2 linked regions of the Sus scrofa genome follow. The protein of the gene in region 2 interacts with the protein of the main gene of each other region in a pairwise test. Links are inferred from orthologs where the notes say so. Each region holds a gene or a part of one and is shown on either strand. Other genes may lie near its edges. The genes, in order: MPP1 and DNPEP.

Region 1 (3,817 bases), on a different chromosome or scaffold from region 2:
GCTGCTCCCTGAACGATGCACCTTCACGCGTGGGCCCCGAGACTCCTTCCACAGCCCTGTTTGTTTGGTGCAGCCCGTGGCATGTGCAAGTTCCGGGGTAACCGGAGCCTCCCTAGGGACAGGGCCAGACCCTTAACCCGCCGCACCACCACGGGAGCTCCTAGACCTTCTGTGCGGCCCTGAAAAACACGATGAGGAAGACCCAGGGAAGGGGGCTGCCCCATCCAGACCCCTCGTGGTCTCAGGCCTGGGATCAGGGTGCCTGGGCCTCAGGCTGAACGTGTGTTTCACCTCACGTGCGACATCACTCGCCTGCTTCCCGCTGGCAGCACTTTTTCCGGAGCCAATGGGCTCCTCGGGGGTCTTGATGGAGACGCTTCCGAGCTTGCGTCCGCCTCCTCGTGGCCCGGCATTCTGCTCCTGGAGCCGAGGGAGTTCTCTGTGCGTCCGGCCTCATTGTCTTTTCGGGAGAACTTTTCGTCCTTGGTCGTTGGTTTTCTGGCCCCGCCCACGGCATGTGCAGAACTTCCTGGGACTTTGTCGTTGGGATGAAATAATCCTTGCTTGCAGGCTGGTGCCTCGTCCACGAAATCGCTGCCTCTCTCAGGGCGGGTTCTCGATGCTCACACGTTCCAAAGCGGATGGGGGGGTTCACGGGTTCCGTTTCGTTGGCCGCCTTCTCCCAGGTGACGCAGCTGGTCCATGCTCGCTTCTCAGCCCTTGGTCCTTTGACCTGTCACGTTGGGAGCCGGGTTTGGAATATAAAACGACACTCTTTTGCCAGGGATCGCAGGCCCCGGCACTCTGTCCTCTGCCTCAGCGCCTTCAGGCTGCTAGTGAAGGCGTCCTTCTAGCTTTGCCGTTGTCATGATCAGGTGGCCTTGGGGTTTCCAAAGCGCCGCTTACTTCGTCGTTTGCCCTGACAGGCCCTGTCGCAGCAGGCCAGCGCCGTGGCCGAGGACATGTACACCAACGGCTCCGCCGCCCCAGGCAGCCCCGCGCAGGCCAAGGGGCAGGAGGTGCGGAAGGTGCGGCTCATCCAGTTTGAGAAGGTCACCGAGGAGCCCATGGTAAAGGCTGCCTGTCCCCGCCGGCCCGGCAGCGCCAACGCCCGCTCGAGTTGGGCCCCCCCCGGGGGTAGGAGGGGAATCTGTGCCCCAAGAAATCACCTGCGACAAAGCTCACGGTGCCCTCGTCTCTGTTTCAGGGCATCACGCTGAAGCTGAATGAGAAGCAGTCCTGCACGGTGGCCAGGATTCTCCACGGCGGCATGGTTCACAGACAAGGTGGCCTGGGCTGGGGGTCGTAGGTCACATGTCCCTTGGGGGTTGAGGGACATAGAGCTTAGAATCTTCCAGACCGGGAACATCTTTGTGTTTGTGCCAAGAGATGTTTTGGTGGCGTAAGAGCGGGCTCTTTAGCATAATTTTATGACAAGCTCTTCCTCTGACTTGCCCAGAGCCAGCGTCTCTCCCTCTGAGCATCCTGTACACGTGGTCACGGCAGTATTTTTCCACGTGGTTAACACTCGAGCCATTACTTTATGCAGCCCCTGCGTTCAACTTTGACTACATGACAATGAGGAAAACAGGCCATGTCTACCTCCTGGGGCCAGGAGTGAAACTGAGAAAATAGTAAAGAAGTAACTGACACTGACCGTTGTACCTCTTATTTTTTTGTCTTTTTGTCTTTTTAGGGCCGCACACGCGGCATATGGAGGTTCCCGGGCCAGGGGTGGAATTGGAGCCATAGCCACCAGCCTATGTCACAGCCACAGCAACGCGGGATCTGAGCCGCGTCTGCGACCTGCACCACAGCTCACGGCAACACCGGATCCTTCACCCACTGATGGAGGCCAGGGATCGAACCCGCAACCTCATGGTTCCTAGTCGGATGCGTTAACCATTGCGCCACGACGGGAACTCCCTGTTGTACTCTTTAATGTGAAGCTGCCATCAGCCATCAGATGCATGGTTTGGGACCCGCGCGTTGTTCTTTTGTCTAGGGTAGCACACGTGTTGACAGCCACTCTTCCGTGGCCCCTAGGCAGGAACTTCGGCAGTCGGTAGCATTCGGAGCTCTTGGATGAACAGCAGAGAAACATCGACCTTGCTAGTGTCTCTGCAGCCGGGCCACAGCCTCTGGACATCAGTAGGGCCTCTGGTGCAGGGAACTGAGGCCAAAGTGCTTTTATTCTGCTGTTGGGGTCCTGAGGCCAGGGAGGCTGGGTGTCACGTGGTGGTTGGATACCATGCTCCGAGCATCGCCGCCGCTTTTCTGTGCCGACTGCTACTTGAGCTTCTCTTCTTCTGCAACAGGTTCCCTCCACGTCGGGGATGAGATCCTAGAAATCAATGGCACCAATGTGACAGATCACTCGGTGGATCAGCTGCAGAAGGCGATGGTGCGTATCTTGACCTCACGAAGGGGCAGTCGACCTCATTTTTCTGTCAGTGTTTATACCTCGTTGCAGGGACTCTTACCACTGCTAATCTTGACCGTGTGCGAGAAGTGACAGCTCTCTGCTTTCATTCAGTAAACGTCTAAAGCGAGGCAAACAACCCAGAGTGTCTATCCGGAAAGAACATTGGGAGCTCCCGTCGTGGCTCAGCAGTGACCAACCTGACTGGCATCCATGAGGACGCAGGTTCAATACCCAGCCTCGCTCAGGGGGTTAAAGGATCCAGCATTGCCATGAGCTGTGGCGTAGGCCGGCAGCTGCAGCTCCGATTAGACCCCTAGCCTGGGAACCTCCATATGCCGTGGGTGCAGACCTAAAAAGGCAAAAAAAAAAAAAAAAAAATTGGGCGGGGTGTCACAACACCTCAGTCTTTAATGGCAGGTCAGTTAGCTTCTCTAAGTCATCTGTAAAATGAGGTTGGTAGTAATTGCCTTTTTTTTTTTTTTTTTTTTTTTTTGGCTTCTTAGGGGCTGCCTTTGTGGCATATGGAAGTTCTCAGGCTAGGCATCGAATCAGAGTGACAGCCACTGGCCTGCACCACAGCCACACCAGATCTGAACCACATATGCACCCTACACCACAGCTATGGCAACACCAGATCTTTAATTAAGCCACCGAGCAAGGCCAGGGATGGAACCTGCATCCTCATGGATCCTCGTCAGGTTCATAACCTGCTGAGCCACACCGGGAACTCCCAGTAGTTGCTCTTATGTAATCGATTGGTTATGAACAGTGAACGGGATATAATAGCTGAAAGTCGAATGTGCTTTTTCGATTCAGTTGATGATATTTGTCAGGCAGCGCCTATGAGCCCGGATCGTGCTTGGTGTCTGCCCCCAAATTGGACATGAATCTGATCCAACCGTTTTCTCGGTTCAGCTGATGATTTCTAGGACCTGTAGAGGGACAAGCATGTCCCTACCCCGTGCTGAAGTCTAGGGCCAACCGCCCAGTCCCTTCCACGCAACAAAAGACTAGAAAAGGAGGCAGCGTGGGGGGTACGGGCAGAGGAAGCGGCTTGCGAGGCCCGTCAGCCAGGCACACGGTGCGGCGCTTTGTTTGGATCCTGATGCAAAGACGGTGCCGAACTGCAGGCCCGAGACCCACGCGGTGGTCAGAGTTTCAGCCATGTCCTTGACCTTCTCCTTTGTAAACAGCCCCGCCAGTCACCTGTCCTCCCCACCCTCTGGAGCGGCCACAAACCCTGATTATAGATGTTCGTTCTGAGCCGATCCCTTCGTCCTGTGTAGACAATGTTTCAAATGTGTGAACATTCGCACTGTGTGCTTCTTTTTGATTTACGCAAATACAATCAACTGCCTGAAAGTTAATATGTGTCATGTGGCAAAAGACACC
Region 2 (3,210 bases):
TATAGATCACAGACGTGGCTTGGGTCCTGGAGTTGTGGTGGCTGTGGTGTAGGCTGGCAGCTGTAGCTCCAATCGGACCCCTAGCTGGGAACCTCCATCTGCTGGGGATGCAGCTCTAAAAATAAAAGTAATTAAAAAAAATTTTTTTTAATTAAAAAAAGAAAAATCCATTGGAGTTTCCATTGCAGCTAAGTGGCTTAAGAACCTAACAAATGCAGGTTCAATCCCTGGACATGATCTGTAGGTTAAGGATTCCGTGTTGCTGCAAGGTGCAGTGTAGGTCACAGATGCAGCTTGGATCTGGCATTGCTGTGGCTGTGGTGTAGGCTGGCGACTACTTAGAAAAAAACCACCATGGTTTTTTTCAGCTCTTCAACTCCTAGCCCACAACTTCCATATGCCACAGGTGTGGCCCTAAAAAGAATAAAATTAAATTAAAATAAAATAAATGAAATAAAATAAATAGAATCAGACCTCCACCAGTGACCAGGAGCTGCGGCCTCCTTCACCTGGACAGGGACCCAACTCCCCATCTGTTCTGGTTCCAGAGGGTTAAGCCAGGCTGAACCCCCACCCCTCCAATCTCCAAATAAGCACAAGAGAATGAGTCTCAGTGAAAAATCCACTTTAATAATCCAGCTTCAGCTCAGCTGAGAACTTCCCACCTCAAGTGCGAGAGAAGTCTTTCCGAGAGGCCTCAATCCACTAGGAGGTTCCGGCTCAGAGAAGGGAACAGCTCAAAGAAGCCCTAAAATAGAAGGGAACACGGCCTCTGGAATTAGTGGAGACCAGCTGGGGGCGTCGCACCACTCATACCAACATAGGCCCCAGCAAGAGAGGAAGGCATGACTGCTTCACCCACACAGGACAAGTGCCCCATCTTCCCATGCCTCATCCCTTCTCTGTCCCCTCAACATCCTCTGGGGGCTGAGCAGGGCTCCTAAGCCTTGAGGAAAATAGGGACCCTCTTTTTCCTACATGGTAGAACCAAGACAACCAGCCCCATCCCGTAGGCCAGCTGCTTAGTGATGGTGATGTTGCCCCAGCAGCCAATCCAGGCACTAGATGGGGAAGGAGCCCAGCTGCCATGGTGATGGGGGGGCGGGGAGTCACCTTGAAGAGAGTGAGGGTCTGGAGCACTCCAGAAGTGCAGGCTGTCTCCCGGATGGAGTGCATGGCCAGCTGGGGGCTGCCTAAATCCAGCACCCGCAGCCCTAGCCGAGAAGCCAAGATAGGTCCAATGGTGGTCCCGCAGGGGGAGTCATTCCGGACCATGAGATCCTGGGGAGAGGAGCAAAGGTTCATGAGCAACATGAGTGAAAGGGTTTATTTGGCTGTGCCTGTGGCATATGGAAGTTCCCGGGCCAGGGACTGAACCCACACAGCAGCAGCAACCCAAGCTGCTACAGTGAAAATGCCAAATCCTTAGTCTGCTGCTGCGCCATAAGAGAAGTCTTTTTTTTTGAAGTGTATGTTCATTAAGGCCGAGGTAGAAGTCATCTTAGAATGGCAGGGTTGGAGTTCCCATTGCTCAGTGGTTAACAAACCCGACTAGCATCCATGAGGACGTGGGTCCAATCCCTGGCCTCGCTCAGTGGGTTAAGGATCCAGCATTGCTGTGAGCTGTGGTGTAGGCTGCAGACATGGCTGGGACCCCACGTTGCTGTGGCTGTGGTACAGGTCAGCAGCTGCAGCTCCGATTTGACCCCTAGCCTGGGAACCTCCATATGCCTTGAGTGCAGCCCTGAAAAGACATAAATACGTACATCAATAAAAAATAACTGCAGGGCTGAAAGGGGCCGGGTAGACTGTTCACTTCAACCTCCTTGAAGAGTGGATGGGACACGCATAAAATCAGCGTCCACACTAAATGGCAGTATATTCTGAATTGGTCCCATTCTCTCCATCTGAACTACTACCACTCTAAGACCCTAGTCCCAGCTACCATCATCATGTCTCCCACAAATAACTCCTTCCCCCTAGAATGGACAGAGGGGTTTAATTCTTTATGTCATCTTGTTCTGTAAATGCACCCGCTCAAAAACGATTTCTTCATCTAAAAGTTAAAAAATAAATAAAATCCAAATATGGTATCAGACATCAAGATTTTCTGCGTAAGGGAAGAGAGAATTACAAAACCAGATGAACTAAGTAACAACTGCTCTTTTTTAAAAAAGTGAAACTCACAGTATTAACTCATGACGCTTAAAATACATCTATTTCTTGTTAGCCACATGCATAGAAATGACCCCACGTGTGTTCCCTGCCAGTAACAAGGAACATTCGCGGTGCCAGACCATCGTCTCTAACATCATCATCCACCAAAAGCTACCAAGTCGGGGAGGAGAAATGAATAAGACGAGCCTGCAATTTCTGGCTGTGCCGAAAAGCAAGACGACCTTCCGGAGTTATGGCAAAGGACACATGACTTAAGTGGAAAGGGCTCCCACTAGCCAAAGTCATGACAATTTGAGGAGAGGAAAGGATTACAGTGGACCAGATCCACACTGAACTCATGAAAACTGAACCAATGAAAATCTATGATTCTGGAGTTCCCCTGTGGTGCAGCAAGTTAAGGATCTGGCACGGTCACTGTAGCAGCTGGGGTTGCTGCTGTGGCTCAGGTTTGATCCCTGGTCTGGGAAATTCCACTTGCCGGGACATGCCCCCACCCACCCCCACCAAAAAGAAAAAGAAAATCTATGATTCTATATAATGATCATCAGAAAAGGAAAAGAAAAACCCTCCTATCTGTCAGTGTTTGAGACAGCCATTAAAACACCTCATCTTAAAAACTGGTTATTGGAGTTCCCTTTGTGGCTCAGCAGGTTACAAATTCAACTAGTATCCATGAGGATGAAGGTTCGATCCCTGGCCTTGCTAGTAGGTTAAGGATCCAGTGCTGCCATGAACTGGTGTAGGTCACAGACATGGCTTATATTCCACATTGCTGTGGCTGCGGCACAGGCTGGCAGCTTGGCAGCAGCAGCTTCGATTCAGCCCCCAACCTGGGAACTTTCATGTGCCACAGGTGCAGCCTAAAAAGCAAGAAAAAAAAAAAAATAAGGTTACTAAAGGGAAAGACTCTAACTTGTCCTGTTATTCCCATAAGAACCATAATTCACAATAACCAGATAGCCCCACTTGATGGGGGAAAGTTCCACTTCACAGAAGAATATGGACAGCTAATACACATGAAAGGAATACAAG

The links.
Region 1: the proteins of DNPEP (region 2) and MPP1 interact in binary tests that used the Homo sapiens proteins (3 or more experiments, as listed by UniProt). The two-hybrid records come from large-scale screens. The link is inferred for Sus scrofa from reciprocal best matches to the Homo sapiens genes DNPEP and MPP1.

What each region holds. Positions count from the first base shown.
Region 1 is NC_010461.5:125,238,164-125,241,980, reverse strand, and holds part of MPP1 (55 kDa erythrocyte membrane protein), read left to right. Parts: intron 1-926; coding exon 927-1,070; intron 1,071-1,207; coding exon 1,208-1,286; intron 1,287-2,318; coding exon 2,319-2,404; intron 2,405-3,817. UniProt on the Homo sapiens protein: Essential regulator of neutrophil polarity. Regulates neutrophil polarization by regulating AKT1 phosphorylation through a mechanism that is independent of PIK3CG activity.
Region 2 is NC_010457.5:121,391,138-121,394,347, forward strand, and holds the end of DNPEP (aspartyl aminopeptidase), read right to left. Parts: intron 1,282-3,210; coding exon 1,114-1,281; intron 749-1,113; coding exon 698-748; 3' UTR 609-697; downstream 1-608.